Arabidopsis thaliana: one gene and its partners. The protein of the gene in region 2 interacts with the protein of the main gene of each other region in a pairwise test. Each region holds a gene or a part of one and is shown on either strand. Other genes may lie near its edges. The genes, in order: MAPR2, AT1G44960, AT5G11680 and AT1G51930.

What was found.
Region 1: the proteins of AT1G44960 (region 2) and MAPR2 interact in a protein complementation assay, tested with the Arabidopsis thaliana proteins (one large-scale study listed by BioGRID).
Region 3: the proteins of AT1G44960 (region 2) and AT5G11680 interact in a protein complementation assay, tested with the Arabidopsis thaliana proteins (one large-scale study listed by BioGRID).
Region 4: the proteins of AT1G44960 (region 2) and AT1G51930 interact in a protein complementation assay, tested with the Arabidopsis thaliana proteins (one large-scale study listed by BioGRID).

Annotation. Positions count from the first base shown.
Region 1 is NC_003071.7:10,606,955-10,611,957, reverse strand, and holds MAPR2 (membrane-associated progesterone binding protein 2), read right to left. Parts: upstream 2,542-5,003; 5' UTR 2,512-2,541; coding exon 2,209-2,511; 3' UTR 2,058-2,208; downstream 1-2,057. Other genes in the region: AT2G24945 (uncharacterized protein), read right to left, coding at 1-376.
Region 2 is NC_003070.9:16,996,784-17,003,392, reverse strand, and holds AT1G44960 (SNARE associated Golgi protein family), read right to left. Parts: upstream 3,948-6,609; 5' UTR 3,818-3,947; coding exon 3,513-3,817; intron 2,427-3,512; coding exon 1,946-2,426; 3' UTR 1,659-1,945; downstream 1-1,658. Other genes in the region: AT1G44970 (Peroxidase superfamily protein), read right to left, coding at 1-242, 358-523, 610-801, 887-1,156.
Region 3 is NC_003076.8:3,755,795-3,762,484, forward strand, and holds AT5G11680 (classical AGP protein), read left to right. Parts: upstream 1-3,014; 5' UTR 3,015-3,191; intron 3,192-3,598; 5' UTR 3,599-3,668; coding exon 3,669-3,778; intron 3,779-4,012; coding exon 4,013-4,124; intron 4,125-4,250; coding exon 4,251-4,322; intron 4,323-4,413; coding exon 4,414-4,640; intron 4,641-4,737; coding exon 4,738-4,840; 3' UTR 4,841-5,119; downstream 5,120-6,690. Other genes in the region: NADP-ME2 (NADP-malic enzyme 2), read left to right, coding at 13-108, 203-274, 368-451, 552-650, 740-787, 874-927, 1,023-1,121, 1,206-1,295 and 5 more; TIM17-3 (translocase inner membrane subunit 17-3), read left to right, coding at 5,965-6,366.
Region 4 is NC_003070.9:19,293,631-19,298,554, reverse strand, and holds AT1G51930 (RING/U-box superfamily protein), read left to right. Parts: upstream 1-3,318; coding exon 3,319-3,717; downstream 3,718-4,924. Other genes in the region: LYK3 (protein kinase family protein / peptidoglycan-binding LysM domain-containing protein), read left to right, coding at 1-184, 264-353, 466-747, 840-985, 1,062-1,151, 1,240-1,345, 1,425-1,576, 1,664-1,761 and 3 more; AT1G51920 (uncharacterized protein), read right to left, coding at 3,976-4,106, 4,221-4,326; AT1G51915 (cryptdin protein-like protein), read right to left, coding at 4,690-4,790, 4,866-4,924.

The DNA of each region.
Region 1 (5,003 bases), on a different chromosome or scaffold from region 2:
AGGCAGTCTTCGCTACAATATCTTCTGCTACCAACGTGTAGGTGCTAGAACGATAAGCGACAGAAATGTCTCGCAAGGGAACTTCAAGGGTTTTAGAAGATAGCATGTCCAAACAAGATGCAACAGCAAATCCACAAACACCAAAGAAGCTTTCATTCCCTGCAAATAAAGATTTCCCAACAACAGGGGAACTTGATAGAACATAGATCTCCATAAAGGAGTAACAATGGCAAACAAAGCACAACCACAAACAAAGCATACAATTAGTATCCTTGTGAAGACCAAAAGCAATTGTGAACAAGCGAGAATCACAATTCCAACTCCATGAGTTAGCTGAACATTTACCCATCTCAACTTTAGAGAACCTACAAATCATATAGACATGAAAGAAGGAACTAAAGGAGGCATAGGAGCCATAGGAAAACCTAATAGCTTCAGGAAAAAGGCTGCATACTGCAGTAATAGGTCGCACTATGGCGATAGAAGTGTCACCGGAAGACACACGGATCTAGAAGGTTTATCATAGAAAACACTTGCATATAATTTATAATAAGCCTCAATGACGAGGGAAAGGAGATGGAGGATCCAACAAACAAGGAATACCATGAGGGAGACGATGGAAAATCGCTACAACAACGAGGAGGAGGCTCTGGAGGTACCGGATCTGGAGGCACCGGAGGCTTGGGAGGATCCAGCGATACCCGAAAGAACAGCATCCGGAGGTGAGCGGTGTTCACAGTCCAAACGGAGGAGCTCGACGACGGGAGAGTTGAGAACGAAGCAACCATCAGAGCTGAATTACTAGCCAAAGACTACTCGCAGGCGACAACGGGTTCCGACGAACGACGAGGATCTGACCCGAGAAGGAAGAGCAGAGCGGCTTCAGAAGGAAGAGGATAATTGAGCGGCGGAGCAGCGGCGGCGGAGGTCCATCTTGTCTTGGAGCATGGAGGGGCGGCTTCCTCGGAGATCGTGCCCGGGAGAGAAGACCTAGGGCGAACTCTCTTTGGTTAATATTTAAGATCGCCTCGTTCTTATTGTTTTGCGACTTTGTCAATGACTAGAGAAGCGCAACAACTTTGTATATTTGCTGCTCAGAGCTCTGAGGTATGGATAGCGAATAAGATGGAGAGTACGAAGCCATTTCATAGAGCAAGTTCCTGACAGTGTCGAAATTTGATGACCGCTATCATTTAGGGTTATGTTTTGGGTTGAGTTTCTTAGTCGACATAGAGAACAAAGTTGTAGTGTCTTGTAATCACCCCGGGTTCTCCAACAACGTTTTACAAATTGTGGGAAAGGATAAATACCTACCTGAGGATCAACATGGTGCCGAATCTCCTACCCCTCCACGTCTCCTCATTTATGTTCTAGGTTTGGTTCAAATCCAGCAAGGTAGCTAGTTCTTGGAGGTGGTGGTTTGTGCATTTTTTTATTTAAAATGTCAAAATAATATCTAAGTTAGGATGCCTCTCTCTTGATAAACAAGCATAGCTATAGGCCACAGCCACTACACACGACACAAGTCAACTCGAGCCAAGAACAACTCTACCCATGAACAGCTCTCCCTCAAACCTAAGACTTGGCGTTAAAGCAACATATTAGTCGCAAGAACGCCATGCCGAACAGGGCCGAAGTCATACAAGTGATGATAATAATTTAGACCGGGAGAAGTAAGAAAGAATCAAAGAAGACACACATTAGCTTCTATGAATTCTGAATGTTCATCATAACTATATTCTTCCAAATCTCATAACGCAAAAGACTAAAATTAACAACAACTTGGAACTTGTAAGATAATTTACACCGAATCCAAAACTACCAGTAAGTTTGGTGTTGCTCAGATTTCAGAAACCATCAGTTTTTCTTTCACCAGACACAATTAGCTCCAAGTATTTGCAAGATATGAAAGACACAAACCAATCTTTATATCCTCTCATCAAATACATATGAGACTTAAAACTCCTAAAATCCTAATCATCACAACAAAGTAACCTTTTTTTTTTGGTAAGCACAACAAAGTAACCTTAAGATCAGAATATGAAGACCACTGAGAACACGAAATCCCCGATTTATTTCATAGATAATTTGGTACTTATGGTAATTGTATCAAAACGATCAGATCCAAACACGAAATCAGAAAACACACAACACAAAGATCCTCACACACAATAGTTACATAACATAGTGCAATCTCAGAAGAGAGACCTAAGAGACAACACGGCCAACGACAGGATACTTAGCTTCAAATTTGGTCTCCCAATCATTAAGAGTATTGATCTCTTTCTCAGTGAGACCTTCAAGAGAAGGAGACACATCTTCTTCGTTCTTACTCATCTTACCCAAAGCTCTGCTCGCGTCTTTTCCGGCGAACATCGAGTAATCGCCTCCGGAGCCGTAGAAGGATTTTCCGGTGGTGACATCGAACACACGGCCTTTGATTGCGACGTAGATCGGCTTTGATTCGTCGGTGCCGTTGTATTGGCTTAGCTGCTCTGCGGTGAATTCCATCTTTTTCTTTAAAGCTCTGATCAATTGTTTCTGGAAAGAACCAAATAAAAGATAGTGAGAGATATATAACAGAGGATTTTTTTAAAAAAATTATAACTGAATAACTTTTTTTTAATAAGTGGAACAACTTTTTTTGTGTCGGTAATAAGTGGAGTAAACTTTATTCTTCAGATTTTTACAAGGAATATCAAAAAATATTTTATTTTTCTCTAATTAAAGTCGATAAAAATTCCAGAAATGCTTAATCTTTCAAGGAGCTTAATTTAAGCTGCTTAAACAACTTCGTCGGGTTTAAAGGACGGCTTTGGGAAAAGACAATTTAATTTGAACTAATTCCTAAGATAGAACACATTTGTATGTTTATTCCTACAGTAGAACACATCTTTTTTTTATTACTCAGATGTTTTCAGTTATTGTGTAATTACAATTAACACCCCTAATTAGTTTTAATTAATTATTATTATTTAATTCGTTTTTAACTAAAAATTAAATGAAAAAACAGTGATTATACATGTCATTATTCCATGTCATTACCATAATCCACGTCATTAATTATCTCCAAACTCCATAACGTTTGGGTTTCTTATTTCTTAGCTTTACTGTTCATCATCTCCCAAAAAAAAAAAAAACTGTCGCTTTCTTCCACTTTCTCTCTCGACGGAACGAAATCGATTTCTTTCGCCGTTTTGCTCTTTTCTCGTCTGTTCCGGCCGAAATTCAGACGCCGGAGTCGCATTTACGTAAGCGCGAAGTCACATTCGACATCTAAGTTCCGGTGAGTATCTTTCAATGAAGTAAGACTCTGACATCTAAGTTCAATCTCAAGTGATTCCCGTCACTGAAATCGTTTTCCGATGCGTAACGATGGTTTTTAAAGCTGGGTTTTAACGTCGACGTTGATTGACATATGGTGGCCGATTTCTTAGATCTATTTGATTTGACGGCTGAGTTACTGTTTGTTTGCCGACTGATTTATGATTTATCAATTCATCCGTGTCTGAGTTTTTTTTATGCTGTGACTGAGTTATGGTTTAACCTTACATCGATGTCTGAGTTTCTGTTATATGACGGCTGAGTTTGTTTATGTTATGGCTGAGTTTCTGTTTTGATATAGCTGAGTCTGGTTTATGTTTTAACTGAGCTGTTGTTATGTTATGGTTTGACTGAGTTTCTGTTAAAATATGGCTGAGTTAGATTTATCTTATGGCTGAGTTATGTTATGTGTGGCTGAGATAGGTTTATGTTATGACTGAGTTATGTTATCTATGGCTGAGATAGGTTTATGTTATGACTGAGTTATGTTATCTATGGCTGAGTTAGATTTATGTTTTGCCTGAGTTATGGTATCTGTGGATGAGTTTGTTTTATGTTATGACTGAGTTATGGAATGCTTACGGCTGATTTATGGTTATACAGATGTCTGAAGACCAAGCAAGGGAGTACCCTCCAAGACTTTACCAAGAGGGGGATTCTAATCTGGAGGGTAAAGGCATTAATCATAATATAAAGCTGGGAGAGTTCCCTGCAATTAGAGAATCAATAGGAGAAGAAATATGGGCAGAACTGAAAGAGACAGAGCTTGGATTAATTGCTAAGCTTGTTGATAGTCATTTTCTCTGGTCTGGTAAGACCGTACATTATCTACTATGCAGACAGCTGAGAATACTGAAGAAGGAGCTTTGGTGTATCGTGGCTGGTAAACCCATCCGGTTTGGATTGAACGAATTTCATCATATCACTGGTTTAAATATAGATGATCTGCCTACAGAAAAGTTTGAGCCTGAAGCTGACTACAAAGCGTTCTTCAGTGAATTGCGTGTGCCAACCGGTGAAGGTCCTAATCTAGATGAACTTAGGCAGGGCTTAGTAACGTGCAGAGCTTGGCCTACTGAAAAACGTAGATGGTTTGGGTTATTGACTCTTCTATCCATTGGACTTTTTGGCTTGCATACTAACTCTAGGATACCATTTGAGAGTGCCAAAAGAGTTTTCGACGACGAAGCCATGAAGACTTATCCATGGGGTCGGGCAGCATATGAAGCCCTTGTCGTTTCTATAAAGTTGCTGAGGCCTATTGGCAAGACGTACACTGTCAGTGGTCTGGTTTTCGTGTTGCAGGCTTGGGCGTATGAGTCAATCATCACCATCGCTGAGCGTTTTGGGAACGCTGTTAACGCGGATGAGATTCCGTTGCTTAGATGGGGTGGCAGCCGTACCCGTTCAACTATAGAATCGGTCATTGCTGAAGATATCAAAGCGAATGGTGGTGAGGTACGGTTTCGGCTCTGTTATGTTCTGTTTTTTATCAAATATTTATGTTACGGCTGAGTTAATGTTTTATTTTTCTCTGTGAAGGCTGAGTTATATTCTTTTTTTTTGGCAAATATGTTATGTGACGACTGAATTATGTTCTATAATGGCTGAGTTATATTAAGTGACGACTGAGTTATATTAAGTGATGGCTGAGTTAAACATACTGATGGGTTTTATTA
Region 2 (6,609 bases):
TTCATCTGATGTCAATAAGCCTTTGCCCCATAGAAGGAGCTTGAAGTATGTGTTGTCGAATCTTGCAGGAGAGGCTAAGTCTAGAGGTGAAATATTGTTGTCACCGCCTGTTGGTGGACAAATTGACCTGAGACCATAGTAGTAAGACCTCTCTAGCGTCTCGTCTGGTTGGTTATTACCGTTTTGATTGTATAGTCTTTGTTTAAACGTTGTGCACCTCGCTACTCCAATCGTATGTCCTCCTGCAACATTTTGGTTTGGTTAAAAACGTTGTTATCATTCGGTTTTAAGAAACCGGTCTCGGTTTGGTTTCCTTGCCAACTCCTTAAACAAAAGATAAATACATGTTAATCTCACCTGATAGGGAAACAAGGTCTTCTTCGTTCAAACCTTTACGTTGGAACATGGTTAAGAGATTTTGAATAGTTGAGTTAGGTGCAGGAATGTTCGTGTTTGCGCCATTAAGGCTAGCGGTCCTCGAGTCTCTCCTCCCTAGTGGAAGCTCCCATGATGGTCCACCACTCTGCATTGAACCACAAATTCGATAAATATAAGCTATATAACTTGTAACTGAGCCAATAGTTTCTCTTGAAGGTCTCTTAATTTTACCAGTATAGTTGAGCCACGAGCAGCTAGAGCTAGAATGTCGGCGCAGGAGACAGTTTGAGGACAAGCTTGCTCAAGTTTGGCTTTGATCTCGTCGATTACTTGAAACCCTCTAACGGAGTTCTTGTTTGGTCCAGCATTCTTTTCACTTCTTATGGTTGCACTATCATCCAACAAGATTGATGCATCACAGCCCTGTTTACACACAGAGTGTAGTGTATAAGTGTTAAGCTTAAGAGACACATAAAGGGAAAACAAAAATAGGTAAAGATACTTTTACCTGAACGAAGCAGTCGTGGAAGTGAAGTCTGAGTAAAGATGCTGCCATTCTTGGTTCTTTAGCTATGGCTTTTTCGAGCACCGTCATAACAATCTCATCAGCTTGTGGACAAGAGAACTGGTAAAATTGTGGGTAAAGATTTGAGTAAAAAGATCCTCCAATGGGACTATTACTTCCCCATCCAAATCCTAGACCTGGATGAGCAACACTAACATCAAAAGAGAACAAAACAAAGAGCACAAGAGTAGGAATAAGCTTTGAGATAGCCATTTTTGTTACTTGGGAGTTTTAAGATGAGATAGTAGTAAAACGGTGAGGGTTTTTATACTTTAGAGATTCAAGAAGCTAACTGCTCTCAGTTTACCAAATCCTAATTTAGAATGTTAAGATAAAAGAGAGAGACATAGTCAACTTGTCCTTATTATACCTCATTGTTGTCTTTTAGAAGTCCTTGTACCAACTCCAAGAACGAATCCATGTGCCTAACTTCACATGTGATCCCAACAAAACCGCCTTGTACCATTGTTAGGTAAAGCTTCTCAACCATAAGCATCTGCACTGTCTAACCTCTTTGTGTTCTCTGAGAGTTGAAGTTTGAAAATGATGAGTGAACTGCTACATTGAGAAAACAACTCTTACCGAATAAAGATTTTCTCTTCATAAGTTATTTACAAAATCAGACATTTAACTTATATCCATTCTGCATCCAAGTCTTTTAGTCACAAAACAAGACCATAGCAATGCAAATATAGCTTGTTTCAATGCTACAAAAATTTTAGTCACATTGCTTCAACCATATAAACGGCTTTAAACATACACTGAAAGAAAATGTTATGGTAAGTGTTATTACAACGACACAGTTTTTGTGTCTGGTATAGAAAATAACACTGTTGTTTTGTTCTAAGCTTTTAACTTAAGAAGTACAAAAACTAATGCTTTGTTACTATTAAGATACTGCCTAACTCGTCCAAAATAAGCCATGATGTTGAGAATCTGATAGCTGCAAACCAAACAAAGTGTAATACCGGCGATCAAAAACCACCATCATGGTTTGTATAATCACTCACTTTTCTTGGATCCATCGGTTCCATAAGCGGGATTCGCAGTTTCAGATGAAGCTAAACTAGAGTTGTTAGCAGAGGTATCTGATGATGCCTCTGTAATTCCAGCTGAGTACTTTTTGATCCTCAATGAAATCAGAACACTTGACAGTATCCCAAGTACTGGGAAAACATAACCCCAGACCTGACTTTTCTGTTTTCCAGCTACTGAAGCCACAGCCATACCAGCGAGGCTACCGACTGATGCGTTCTGCAGGATCATCGGGAGGCAGCCAATAACCGTGGGGAACAGAAAATCAGCTACAAACCGGACTTCAGTAGCTGCCAAAGCGTAGTTTATGACATAGGAAGGAATGGGCGAGAACCTTGCAAGAAGAACAAACTTCCAACCATCGCGCTCAACTCCTCTTGAGAGAATATTGAAGTACTTGTTGCTATGCGCCCACCCTGTAGCTCTGGTGGAACTCTTAAAAACAAACCTGAAAATTCAAAAAAGTATGAGAGAATGCAAGTGCTCCCAATAGATAGATAAATAAATAAAACTGCATATCACATTGCTAAGGTTAATCAACATCCTAGTTGCATTCTCCTACATATATTAATTGGCAATTAGAATCACAGCATGCATTTAACAATTAGTCCATACATATCCATCACATACACAAGAAAACAACCAATCTCATCCACACACCATTATAGAATAGGAAGACATGCATCTTCTCCGCCTTTTTGGCGAATAACGGTGTTAGTTTTCCTCTGAACAGCCAAAATGACATCATTTCTTTACACAAAGATCCACTTCCTATAATGCTTAGAGTAGAATGGATTTTCGTGAAAACTTCTGTATACGGAGGTTTCAGCGATAGCAGGACAATCAAAACCAACAAAAGAGTTTATTCTACATCTCCAAGTAAAATCTCAGAAATCGATAACTTAAACTAAATCAGAGTGTTACTAATGAAGCATATAGTTTCTATGAAGCCATGTAAAAATCCAGCATAAATGTGAATATTGCAAATCATTCCCTAGCATATATTAACAAGCAAATGACAAGCATCTAACGGTTCTTTACATCTCCGTCACATACACAAGACAACAACCACTCTTATCCAAACACCATTATAGAATCTGAAGACATCCATCTAAATCTCGCAAGAAAATATCATGCATCTTCTCCGCCTTTTTGGTGAACAACGGTGTTATCTTACCGCTGAATAACCAACAATGACACCATTTCTTCACACAAACATTCCCTTCCTATCATTCATGCTTACAATTTAATGGATTTCAATAAACGTTCTGCAAAAGGTTTCAACAATGGTGCACTAAAGAAAAATCTAAACCATCTCCAAGTAAAACCTTAAGCATTCACAAAACACGATAACATAAACTAAACCAGAGTGTATTACTAATGAATCATATACTTTCTACGAAGCCAAGATAAGCCATGTGAGAATCATTGTTCTAAATCCAAATCATTTCGATCAAATTCGTACATTAGCGACACAAACTAACGATCCAACAGATCAATTTGAATCACATAACAGTGCAATTGAGAAGCAGACCTGCCGATCCAGAAGGAGAAAGAAGCGGCGAGAACTTTAGCAGAGAAAACACAGAGAAGAGCAGGAAGGAAACCAAAGAGCATAGAAGCACCAGCTTCAAAGAAGACGGCGTGAGGGAGACAAAGAGCTAAGGTTATTGTGTGAACCGCTACATACGTTGGAATCGCCCAAATCCCCAGCCGATCTGACCATTCCTTTAGCTTTTCCAACGCCGCCTCTTTGTTCCATCCGTATTGTGTCGTGCCTTGTCTAACGATTATTGCAATTATCGCCACCGTCGCTGCGATTGCTAACCATTTCTTCATCACGGAGCTCTGAGATGAGAAGAGAAGAAAGCGTGAAATGAAATGGGGGAACTGGTTTTTGGTAATTGTCGAAAGTGATTTTTGAAAAGGGTAAATTGCAAGTTGAATCCTCAAAACTGCAATGTTTTGGAAATATACCCTTGATCTTCTAAAATTGCAAAATGAGACTATTCAACTCTCCACAATATAACACTAATTGACTAATTACAAGAAAAAATTATCAAAAGTGAAAACTTGACAATCACGATTTATTTTCTATAATTTTTCATTTAAATTATTATTAATATTATGATTGATGTATTTAAAATCAATAAAAGTTTATAATATTAGGAAAATTAAAATAATATGCGATGAGTTATATTCCGAGACGGAGTTATATGGCGGAACGGATTTGAAACAATATTAATAAGTAAATAAAACATCATTAACCTACTACTTTAATACAGATGAAATTCTTATTTTATTATTTATTAATATCACTAGTGTTAGACATATAACATCTGTCTAATTAATATAAGATTGTACAAAACAAACTTCTTATGTGGTATATCGTTACTTAATGACAATTATAAAATATAAATATAAATATAAATATCATATAAATGATACAAATTACAAGTATCCTACTATATTATTTGGGAAGTACATTTTAAATTTAACCTTAATTTTTGTAGTTAATTACATGACAATGCCATTAGAAAAATTTAATCAAAAACAAAATCCTTTAATGACGTCATTAATTACCAAAATCTTTTAACGACAATATCCTCTTATTATTAAAAGGGAAGTACAAATTGAAATTTTGTCTAATTTGGCCTCAATTTTGATTTCAATTTTGGATTTTGTTCTTTGCTATTCAAAATCATTAAGGGTAATTTGGTCTTAACAATCTCCTAAACTTGATATGATCCGATTCAATCTAAACCGTTCAATAATTTTAATTCACTTCAATCTAATCCGTTCAACAAAAATAAGTAAATAACAAAAGAAAAATTAAACACATTTTAACACATTCTTCTTATCACTAAATAACAACCAAAAAAAAATCTCAATTATTATTTAGTTATGTCTGATTAAAAAATTTATATTTATAAGTTTAGGATATCAAATTTATTCAAATATTTAGTATAAGAACCAAATAAACCGATTGCCCGCGGTAAACCGCGGGTTAAATCCTAGTTCATCTCTTAATTATAGGGCTTATTTGATTTAAAGACGGGTCATCAAAGATTTCCTAAACTTAAGCAAAATATACTGAATATTCAAATATCTATCTGTTACCAAATTATAAACAAATAAGTTCGTAAAACAATTTAATATTTTATATACGAAATCAACTAAATCTTAATCACATAAAAATTAGCACAAAAAAGTATTCAACAATTAAAAAATTATCAAATCTCTGTGTTATATAAGTTTTTATACTATATTCGAATAAAGTGTAATATATCTTTTTAATTTGTATTCTTTAACTAATTTAAGCTAACTAATATATTTGCTAATCTTATACCTATCAAAACCGACTATCGTTTCTTATCTCTATAGTATTTTTGCAAGACTTTTTTGGTGGATTTGGGTAAAAGTGCATTCGGGTCATATGGTACATTCCCCTATTAAATAAATATGGTGCACTTCTATGTTATTAGCTAAAATGTTTAGATTATAATTTAGAGTCATATCATAAATAAAATTAATATTAATAAAATAAATGGCTTTTTGGCAAGATGGATTTGGAGGGACGGGTTTTTGAATCAACATTAATAAAAAAAGTAAAATATAATTAAATCACCGTTTCAATACGGGTTAAATCTTTAATTTATTATTTTTTAAGACCATTAATATTAAACATATCAAATCATCCTAATTTAGAAAAGATTATATAAAACCAAAAATGTTATGTGGTATGTATAATGTTAGTATATATAAAATTAAACTATAAAATATAAAACTTTAAGCTAAAAATTGTGGTAACAATTATAAACTGTAAAATATAAATATTTTATAAGAATAAAATTTGCAAGTTTCAATATATCTTACTTTTAAAAAATAAATCGTCCCGCGATATACCGCGGATTAAAATCTAGTTTAAATATGATACACAATCATAAAATTTTAAAATTTAATATTTCTGATAAAATTAAACGGATTACAAAAATACATTTTGGATGCTTGTTAAGTTAAGCTTCTTATTTATTCAAGGTCAAAAAGATTTACGTCTTTCTATTCATATTTTTTTTTATAGTTTACTAGGGGGTATTCCACGCATTGTGTGGAGTCAAAATTAATATAGTAAAATAAACTATAATTCTAGCTTATCATATATTGCTTAACTACGCGTATTAAAAATACACGAATATGAGGCACATGAAGATGAACATGAGTATCTGGTTAATTTGCTAGATGCATGGACAAATGTCTCCATTCTCCTGGTTCCTCTTATGATAGTATGGTTTACCAGATTTTTTGTGGTACACTAAGTAGTGTGATGACATGTGAGAACTGTGGAGACATGTGATGACAAGTCAAGAAATTGCAAAACAAATCGAGCAATTTCTTGACTTGTTGTTAAAAGTAATGAGGAGATTAACAAAAAAAGTTGAAGAATCATTTGATCGTATTAATATTTATATTTGCAATAATCTAAGCGTCAAAATATTTAGATTTTCAGATACTTAAAATAATTTTAGGTATTTAATCTACTTTTGAGTAAATTTGAATACAAAAGTGTTCAAGGTTTTTAGTTATTTTCTGTATTTTCGAGTAGTTTGGATATATTTGGTTTTAAAATTTTG
Region 3 (6,690 bases), on a different chromosome or scaffold from region 2:
TTTCAAATGCAGTGTCTTCCAATCACCATTGATGTGGGTACAAACAATGAGAAGTTGCTAAATGATGAATTCTACATCGGTCTTAAACAGCGAAGAGCAACTGGCCAGGTTTACTAATCAATTCCTATCAGTGTTTTCTCTTCTTATAGCAAATACTATGATTTTTCAAAAACTGAGAAGTCTATTTGCTTTTGTGATTCAGGAATATGCTGAATTCCTGCACGAATTCATGTGCGCTGTAAAGCAGAACTATGGAGAGAAAGTGTTGGTTCAGGTGAGCCATAGGATACTCTCTTAAGAACTATGATTGTTGTCAGAACTACGATAAAAGATGTCCGGAATTAATATCATACACTCATCTTTTCAGTTTGAAGATTTTGCAAACCACAATGCGTTTGACCTTTTGTCTAAGTACAGTGATAGCCATCTTGTCTTCAATGACGATATCCAGGTAGCATCTTCTCCTCAAGATTGATCTTTTTTTTCTTAAATTTTTGGTTGTGATGTCAGAGTGCTTACCAAGAACTTGATTTTGTTTTCTGTAATTGCAGGGTACTGCATCCGTGGTGCTTGCTGGGCTTATTGCCGCTCAGAAGGTGCTTGGTAAAAAACTGGCTGACCATACCTTCCTGTTCTTGGGTGCCGGAGAGGTGAGACCAGAAAGCATTATACTCTATAAGCTTATAATTCTTACATTTATTTTTTGCTGCTTACACTTTATCTCGCTGATTCTTTGAAGGCTGGAACCGGTATCGCTGAGCTAATTGCTCTTAAGATTTCGAAAGAGGTTAGTCAATCTGGGAGTTTTCTTGCATTTGATCTGTTTTTTGGCTAAGAGTATGTGATTGATCATATCTGTTTTTTTTTTTGTAGACTGGAGCTCCCATCACTGAGACCCGGAAGAAGATTTGGCTTGTGGACTCCAAGGTATTGTTAGGCGCCAACCACCAAGATCAGTCTCATCTTTTTTAGCTATACCGTTCTTGTTCATATATGTTTCTCTTTTGAACATTATTTTGCAGGGACTGATTGTTAGCTCACGCAAAGAATCTCTTCAGCACTTCAAGCAGCCATGGGCACATGAGCACAAACCTGTGAAGGACCTCATTGGTGCTGTTAATGTACGTGATGAACTGATCTTTAAATTGCTTGATAGTGAATAGAGAATCTTTTTGTTCACTGTTTGTTGAAACTTTTTCAAACAGGCAATCAAGCCAACCGTTCTCATTGGAACATCCGGTGTGGGTCAGACTTTCACAAAAGAAGTTGTCGAGGCCATGGCTACCAACAACGAGGTTTCTTCTTGTTCTTACTCTCTGCTTTTTCAGAAAACAAGGTATTTATGCTATTTTTCTAATGCTGGTCTTGGTGTTGGCTTATAGAAACCGTTGATTCTTGCTCTCTCAAACCCTACTTCTCAAGCTGAGTGTACTGCTGAACAGGCTTACACATGGACCAAGGTATAATATTGTCTCATATGACATCTAAATGTGATTCATGTCCTCACTCCTGATTATACAACAAAATTATAATTTGGTTTTCATGCTGCTCCTCGAATCTAATCATATATTGTGCTTAAAAAAAGGGTCGTGCAATCTTTGGAAGTGGAAGCCCATTTGATCCTGTTGTGTACGATGGCAAAACCTACTTGCCTGGCCAGGTTCGTGCTATTTCAACAACTTCTTCTCTCTCAACTTTGTACATCTGACAATCTTAGAGCTCACATCATATTTCCACTATCCTACTTAACTTCAGGCAAACAATTGCTACATTTTCCCTGGTCTGGGTCTTGGTTTGATCATGTCTGGGGCAATTCGTGTCCGTGATGACATGCTCCTCGCAGCTTGTAAGTAAAAATAAACTTCAGAAAATCAAACATGGATACTGATAAAGACACTTAAAGATTCTCAATGTCATCTCTCTCTCATGTTTTCAACAGCTGAAGCATTGGCCGCACAAGTGACAGAAGAGCATTACGCCAATGGTCTGATCTACCCGCCATTCTCAAACATCAGAGAGATCTCTGCTAACATTGCAGCCTGTGTCGCCGCCAAAACCTATGACCTCGGTTAGTTGAATGAAACTGTCTTAACTCTTTTAATGAGACTGTCTGAACTCTCTAATCTCAAGTTCTAAAATCGATGTATTGTGGTGTAGGATTGGCGTCGAACCTGCCACGTGCAAAGGATCTTGTCAAGTTTGCAGAGAGCAGCATGTACAGCCCTGTGTACAGAAACTACCGTTAAAAAAGTTTTGTTGAAGAAACCTGCAGATTATACTATTCACAACCCTTGATAGTTTCTTAAGGCTTGTATTTAAGTTTTTTGTTTGTTTGTTTGTTGTTTGTTTTCTCTTCTACATTATGATGCTGTTTGTGAACTCTCTCTCTGTCTTTGCTGATAAATAATAAATTGTTACTAATATAATCTACAAATCATTATTGTCTCAAAGTTACACTTTCCATCCCACATCACAAAATCGATCAACTTGTCTTGGAAGGGAATAATATGCTTTTTTCTGCCACTTGTTGTATCTTATTGGTTGTTTTATTAAAATGGTATAATTGTTGCAGAATTAAAGAACTTGTATCATTATTTTGAAGAGTTTATCAAAAGTTTCATATAGATAATAGGACTATAGAAGCATAGCTGAATACTCTTTTGAAAGTGGTTTCTAAATTGTACTGAGCAAAATGTTCTAAAAACAACAAAACTCCTAATCTTAAGCTAATGATTTTGGCATTTTAGGTAACTACTTGTTATAAATAGCTAAAACAATAACAAGAATCTCTAAAACTCGTCTTCACGTTTTGGTTAAAATCGAAAGCTCAAACAATCCAAACCAAAACTAAACCGAAACAAGATGTCAAAAAAATAAATAAACACCTAAACCGAAACCAAAGTTAAAACAACTGAAAATGGGCTGAACGGTCCCTTTAATCTGAGATGTAATAAGGCCCAAATAGTAACTGTAGATGGGGACAATTGTAACGAAATCAAATTGCGGGCGAAAATCGAACTAAAGAAATAAGTAGAGGGACGAATAAAATGGTTAGAAGGTTTTAAGAATAAACCGCGTCGCGTCTCTTTTCTGGAAAAAACGAGAAACTGTGATCTTGGCCCTTTTATTACCCCTATCCTCTTCTTCTTCAATCTCTCCGATCAAAATCCTTTTAAGCTCTGTAGACCCAGGTATGTTCCTTCAGCTTTTCTATTCGCGAGAAAATTACGAGTAAAGGATTGCTTGAAATTGAACTTGGATCGTTCTGTTACTGCTTTCTTATTGCTATCAGATTTTGATTCTCTAAGGAATTAGATATTTTCTTTGTTGATTGATTTGTTTTGAACACGTATTATTAATCCTAGTCTTTGTTTCTACATTATAGGAACGTTTCGATTTGAATTAGCTAAAAACCTCAATTTTATTTGCTCTTTTGCATATCTGAAATTGGAAGCTGATGATATGTGGATGTTAATTGGCTCTAGTTACTTGGATCTGTGAATAATTATTTGCTAATTTGGAGCATGTTCCTTTGAATTATCTTCTGATTGTCTAAGTATATTTGGAAATGTGTTTATATTCTCATTTGTGTGATCAGGTTACGCAGAGAAGAAGAACAGAACAAGGAATTATATAATCATTGGCTTGATCAATCTGAATTGCAGTTCATGGCGCTAAACCCTCAATTACTACCCAATGGGATGCCTGTTCCCTTTGTTAATGAAATGTTCGTCCTAGTCCGAGATGGTGTTGAGTTTGAAGTCGACAAGATCCCTGGGTTCGTGTTCCCTTCTCTCGTCACGCATGTTTTGGATCTCCTTAAGTGGTTTATTGATTTGATGATTATTGTTGGTCTCCATTTTAGTACCGTTTTGAGTCGGTTTAGATCCACTCATCTAGCATATGAACCATTAAGTTTACTTGTAAATAAGATAAGTCTCAGAAGTGAACAGACATATGAGCTCTGGGCTTTAAACACTTCCCTGATGTTCTTTCTTGTTGTATGATCCAGAGGGCATGGAGGTCATGTTAAGGCCAAGGGGGTGATTTACTTGTCTAATATACGGATGGTCTTTGTTTCAAGCAAGCCTGTTGACAACTTTGTTGCTTTTGACATGCCCCTGGTACAGTAACTTTATCTTATTTTTGTCTCTGATTTAGTTAATACATGGCACAAGTGTAGCTCTGTTAAATTTGGTTATGGAACTACATGCTACATATTAGCTTATGGATTATATGTTACTCTGTAGCTTTACATCCATGCCGAGAAATTTAATCAGCCAATATTTCACTGCAACAATATTGCTGGACAAGTGGAGCCTGTAAGTACAAACTTTCATGGAGAATTTATAGTTTCTTTCCTTGTAAGGAAACTATACATATTTACTTATTGGCATGTAACAAAATTTCCAGGTGGTGCCAGAAAATGAGCATAGAGCTCTATATTCAACACACAGTTTCAAGATCCTATTTAAGGAAGGTGGTTGTGGGACATTTGTTCCTCTCTTCTTGAATCTCATATCATCAGTGAGACAATACAACAGACAAATGCAACAAGCAGCAGAAGCAGCAGCGGCAGCTCCTCATGTTGATCCTCTTCAAGCCGCTCAGACACCTGTGGACGAAATGATGAGACATGCGTAAGTCCCATCAGAAATCAATCGGAAAGTTTTTTGATAGTAGTAAAAGCTGTTGTTCCTCATAAAATCTTGTGTGGTCGTCATTGTGTATGTGCAGGTACGTGGACCCTAATGATCCAACGAGGATATATCTGCAACAGCCATCAGGGGAATCTCAGTTGAGGCGTAGAGCTTACCATTCGGGTGCGGCGGAACATTGAGATACACGGAAAAAAAAAATACAAAGGCTATGAATACAGAAACAGCAACAGATTAGTGTTGCTAATAAGCAAAACGTGTTGTTTGTTTGTTTAAAGTTGAAAACTAAAAGTCTAAAACCATCTGTGTAAAGAAAGATGAGACTTGTTTGGTGTGTGGATGTATCTGGTAAAATTGGAGTCGTAATAATCATAAGTTTGGTTCATATATTGAACAAAATGTGGGTCGAAAACCCTGCCGGTTCGCCTGAACCATGAAAAGTCGGATTTGGCTGATCCGCACGCTCAATTTTCTTCAGCTAAATCGCGAATACTTGAGCTTGTAGTAAGTCGTGGCCACTAGTGGGACACACAAAACCACAAAACATATATTTTGCAAGCTAAAACCCAATGGACTAAGATTTGAGGTTCAGGGTTGGACCATAAAATTTGGAATGGATAATCGGATACTTTAGGTTGGGTTGGTAGTTTTCAATATTGAAATTGGGTTTTTGGACCTTTCCTTAGTTTTTGATTTAAAACAAAATTGTAAAAGAAAATGAAAATACGAAGGTGGCATTCTAGCTTTATTTTCCAGAGAAAGTGGCTTTCCAGCCATTTATTAAAAAAAACAAAGACCAGGGTGTTTTTTTTCTGACAAAACAAATTGTAACACTCACTAGGCATAGCATTCTAGTTAGTTCTGCAGAAATTTATAGCGACACTGGTCCAAATTAGGAGGAGCGAGAGCGAAGGTACGAGTGAGGATTTACAATTGTCGATCGTTTTCACCTAGAAACCCTAATTTCGGGGGCTCGCACGCCCTCTCTGATTAGAAGCGACTTCATTATCGGTCACTAGAATCTGCTGCTTCTTTTCTGGTTAGTGTTTAACCAAGCTCCGTTTTGTTTGCTCTTAATGGAATCAGAATTTCTATCATTCCTAGATTAGTTTCTGTGATGTATATCTCTGGTATTCGGATTCTTGTGCTGAGCTCAATTCATAAGCGGAGGATTTCTTAGCTTCGATAATTAGCCCTTTTCAAAATTTGCAGCTTTTTATGCGGTTTGTTCTTAAGATGATTGGTTCATTCAGTTTTGTTGTGAGATCTCTGACCTTCCTCTGTAGAAACTAGCATTGTCAGGAACATGGACACTAAGAAGAAATCTAAGGAACATGGCCTATACCGTATAGTCAATGCTATCGGTTATGCATTTGGAGCGGGAGCTGTTGGAGGTTCTGTATATCATTTCGTGAGAGGGGCATACAATTCCCCAATAGGTGCTCGATATGTTGGAGGAACACAAGCGGCTAGCATGAATGCTCCTCGCTTGGGAGGCACTTTTGCTGTATTTGGAGGATTGCTCTCAACATTTGACTATGCATTGGTGCGCATCAGGAAGAAGGAAGATCCATGGAACTCCATCGTAGCGGGTGCTGCTACAGGTGGAGTTCTGTCTATCCGAAAAGGGGTTGTTGCAGCTTCAACATCAGCGGTTATGTTTGGTTTTTTTTTGGCTGTACTCAACCCTCCGTTCGGGAGCAAGTAAGCTTTTTGGGTTGTCTTTGATGAGAATGTCATTTAGACTTTCATGATAATTGCCTTTTCGTTATCAATTCTTCAAAATTACTGTTTCATGGAAAGTTTAACAGATTTCGTGGTTGAGAATTTCTGATCATTTTTGTATAAACGTCATCAAGAACTAATTATTGCTATTCAAGTGTTCCTTTTTGAATAGTTTCTTTTAAGTAGATGAAATCTCAGGGGAAAAACATTTGGGAAGGGGAAGATGAGGGAATGAGTCAAAGATATTATTGAGCTCGACAGTCAAAAGTTAAATTATTCCCTGATTTTGATCATTCTGAAAAAAACT
Region 4 (4,924 bases), 2.3 Mb from region 2:
CTTTGTGGTTGCTCTAGTGGTCTCTGGAACTATCTTATGAGCTACGTTGCTATGGCTGGAGATAGTGTACAATCTCTCTCGAGCAGATTTGGTGTTAGTATGGATCGAATTGAGGATGTTAATGGGATCTTGAATCTTGATAATATCACAGCTGGTGATCTCCTTTATATCCCACTTGATTCCGGTAAGAAAGTTTCGATTTTTATGCTAAAGTTAGGGTTTTTGAAAAGAATAATTTGATGATTTTGAATTTGTTTATGAAGTACCTGGAGAGCCTTATGAGACAAGTAAGATAAATCCACCAGCTCCTTCTCCTGCGCCTGCATCATCATTAGCTAATGGCAATATCTCAGGTTTGGTTTCTGTTATTATCTTGTTTTGTCTGATCTGAATCTCAAGTTTCTATTTTTAGTATCATGAAACTTAAGTTTAGATGTTTCTGTATTTGTTTCCAAATTTGGAAAGATGACCAGGTGAATCACACTGCAAAGAGTGGTAGTCATGTGCCTTATATATGGATTGTTGGTGGTCTTGGAGTTGTGCTTGCACTTCTTGTTCTGTGCATACTTGTATGTATCTGTTTGAGATCATCTAGTTGCAGTTCCAGTGAGGAAGATGGTAATGGACACAACTTCCAAATCCTTAGAAAATCCGGTTTCTTTTGCGGTTCTGGTCGGTATAACTGCTGTAGATCAGGGGATTTTAGACAAACCAATGGTGAAACTCAAGTTGTTGCTATTCCTAAAGGTTTGGTTTTTGGTTTCATCATCTGTGGTTTCTCTTTTAAAGAGTTTTCTTTTTTAATTGTTTTACGGATTTTTTCTCTTGTATGAATGTAGCTCTTGGTGATGGAATGTTTGAGATAGAGAAGCCTATGGTGTTTACTTATGAAGAAATTCGTGCGGCTACGGATGAGTTTTCGGATTCTAATCTTCTTGGTCATGGAAACTATGGTTCTGTATACTTTGGTCTACTTAGAGAACAGGTTTGTTTTTCATTTCCTTGTTTTGAGTTGTCGTAATGGCTTTACTTGATGTCATATTTGGTTTAACTTATCACAGGAAGTTGCTGTCAAAAGGATGACTGCTACAAAAACTAAAGAGTTTGCAGCAGAGATGAAAGTGCTTTGCAAAGTTCATCATTCCAATCTGGTAAATTCCCTTTGTGTGTATATCTTTTTTATTAGTCTAAAATCATTCGAGATTATGACTCTTATGTTTGCTTTTCGTCTTGTCAAAGGTAGAATTGATTGGTTACGCTGCAACCGTTGACGAGCTTTTCGTAGTTTATGAATATGTCCGAAAGGGAATGCTGAAAAGCCATTTGCATGATCCTCAGAGCAAAGGTAAAGAGACTAATATTAATACCCGACAAGAACTAACAAGAAGATGATATAAATGATATATTTCTTGATGTTATTGAAGGAAATACCCCACTTTCTTGGATAATGAGGAATCAGATTGCACTTGACGCAGCAAGAGGCTTGGAATATATTCATGAGCATACTAAAACTCATTATGTTCACCGAGATATCAAGACAAGCAATATTTTGCTCGACGAGGCATTCAGGGCTAAGGTCTTAGTCTGAACTTATGAAATCCATTACATGTTCTGATTCTTATAGAGGAGAATTTGGTTGATCTTATCTTTGCATTGTGTTTAGATATCGGATTTTGGACTTGCAAAACTCGTTGAGAAAACTGGAGAGGGAGAAATATCAGTAACTAAAGTAGTTGGTACATATGGTTATCTTGCACCAGAGTAAGCATTTGAACACTTGAAGAAGCTACATTGAGTTTTAATACAAGAATACTTTAGTGAATTCTTATCTGTGACTTTTCTGTCTTTTCTTTTGCAGATATCTAAGCGACGGTCTTGCCACCTCGAAAAGTGATATTTACGCCTTTGGTGTTGTTCTTTTCGAAATTATATCCGGAAGAGAAGCTGTTATAAGAACGGAGGCGATTGGAACTAAGAATCCAGAAAGACGTCCATTGGCATCTATTGTAAGTTCTTGGAGTTTGTTTATAAAGATTGAACCATTACACTTCTTTCTTTGATGCAACATTCATTCGCAAAGCCCTTTTTTGTTGTTCTTGCAGATGTTAGCAGTGCTAAAGAACTCACCAGACTCTATGAACATGTCGAGTTTGAAGGAGTTTGTTGACCCCAACATGATGGATTTATACCCGCATGACTGTTTGTTCAAGGTAAACTAAGAAACAAATGCTTAATTAGTAGTTGGAAAAATGTAGTAACCATATGATTTATTTCATTGTAAATGAATTTTGTGGACAGATTGCTACGTTGGCAAAGCAATGTGTGGATGATGATCCGATTCTAAGACCAAACATGAAGCAAGTGGTTATATCGCTCTCGCAGATACTCCTGTCTTCCATTGAATGGGAAGCCACTCTTGCTGGAAACAGCCAAGTCTTTAGTGGTCTAGTCCAAGGAAGATAAAAACAATAAAAACTTAGAACCCTTTCTTTATTTTCAATTTATGAATGTCGCCATTGCCTAGAAGAAGCTTAGTTTGTCTAAACCAAAAGATCGTTCGCAGTCTAACTAAGTAGATAGTTACAGAGACAAATCTCTATATGATTATTCTTTTGGAGAATCAAATGAAGAGATGTATGAGTTTATATGCTTAAGATATGTTGCAATCTTACAAACAAAACATCACTTTATAATCTTACAAATTACAATAGATTGATGATGATGCATGACACAGAACCATATAATTTTTGGACATAATCAATACTTTGTAAGAGAAAGTGTGAAGGTCTGAGAATCTATGAAGACTTAGAGATAGAAGGTCACTGTTGTAATCTTTTTCGATTCCCATACTAACTCTGGTTTTAGCTTATATAATACAAAATCTAAAAGCATAAAAGGCTTAACGTAGTAAGTAATCTTGGCCCAGCATAGGCCCAATAAACCACATTCAGATCGTATCATCATATTCTTATTTTTAATTCAACCAAATTATCTTGTGTTTCAAACCAATATCTCCTTGATATTTTTGTAAATTTTTGTGTGCGCAGATAATGATTTCTCAGTGATGACTATAAACTCTATTTGGCATCAATTAAAAGTTTTGACCAAGGGTTTCAAACTAAACGACGTCGTTAGGGTTCTCTTGGGATGCAAGCATGTGTTTTCACATGATTAATCCAAATAACAAAAGGAAAAAGAAAATAAAACTCAAATCCTAATTCCTAATGGGAAGATTGGTTTTGATATTATAAAGTAAAATAAATCACGTTTTTGATATTTCTTCTGGTAGGAACGAACGAAAACGTAGTATTCGTGAGGATGGATACTATTGACGAAATTCTCATTGGTTTCTCCATCATCGGCTTGATCGTCATCGTGATTGCTAACTGTTGCGACAATATAGATCCCCCTCCCACGAGATTACCTCCCGAGACAATCCATCAAACTGTACAGCCTCAACAAGACATTGAAACCGGACAGAGCAAAGCCCTAGTGTTCAAAGATATCAAAGAAGAAGAAGGAGGAAGAGAAGAAGAAGGTGGTGGTAAACGTTTTTGTCCAATTTGTTTGGAAGAGTACGAGGATGATCATCAGATTAGGCGTTTAAGAAACTGTGGACATGTTTTTCATCTTTTGTGTATTGATTCTTGGCTTACACAGAAACAAAACTGTCCAAGTTGTCGCCGTTCTGTTGATTTGATGAGTTTAGGTCTTTAGACTATTAGGTTTTATTTATTTATCATTACTAAGTGAATATAGTCATATCTTTTGGTTAAGGTATCAATTATATTTACATTAATCAAAGTTTTGGTCAATGGTTGAAAAATCGAACTCAAGTTGACTTTGAAGCTTTTTTTTGTTGTTGTGTTGTTGTTATTAGGACATGTGAACAGAGAAACATGGACTGCAAAAGACTTTTTTTCTTATTCTTATTTTTTTTTTGGGTACCAAGTCAGGCTTTTTTATGTTACATTTTCATGGAGATTGAGAGTGGTGATGAGTTTGAGTGACAATAGGAGATGCACAACATCTGCAGCAACTTCCTAGCGGAGCTGGCTCACAACACACACAAGCAGGGCAAATCGGTCTTCTCGAGCTAATAGGAGCTGATGTGAAATACATACCAAGAAAGATTGATCCATACAGATCACTTTACTAATCTAATATTGGAAACTATTGTAGGTATATATAAAGTTTAGTTTGATGCCTTGAGTTGTTACCTCTTGGGATACGAGTAGCGTTGCTTTGAGACAAGGGAAGAACAAGTAGCAGAAACAAGACAAAGAGCTTCAAGAAGATGGATTTTCCACTGTGAAACGACGCCATTGATGCTTTGGTTTGTTATGCTTTGTGTTCGTAGAGGATTAAGGGTAATCATATTTATATGCGTTTTTAAAGATGACTTTTCCACAGACCATTCTAAGATTCAAAGTCTCTATTTCTGAGTTGAATGAGAATTCAAAGGTTCCTCAAACATTGACCGATCCACTTTAATAATAAGTTTAAAACGAAGCTACAAGGCAAACAAAACATATAGAATACTTTTTTTTTTATCCTATAACAATCAAAGTAGAATGGCCTGAGTGACAAGATTCATACGGAGTCTAATCTTTTGATTGCTTATTCACATGTAAATAAGATCATATTAAACACATGACAAGGTGTTAGACGAAATCAAAGTCGAAGCTTTTAGGGATTTTTGGGGCATCGACATGGGCAGCAAGCACCTCGTGGAGCCGGTGCACAACACACACACGAAGGACACACGCGCCTCAGCATACGCGTTTCAGCTATAAGAAAAAGAAAACAATTCACCTAAGAAAACTGCGATGTATTATATATAAATCCCAAAAAGATTAGCTAACCATCTAGATGCGCTCGAGTTGCTTGACATGGAAGGATTGGAGATAAGACCAAAGCAAGT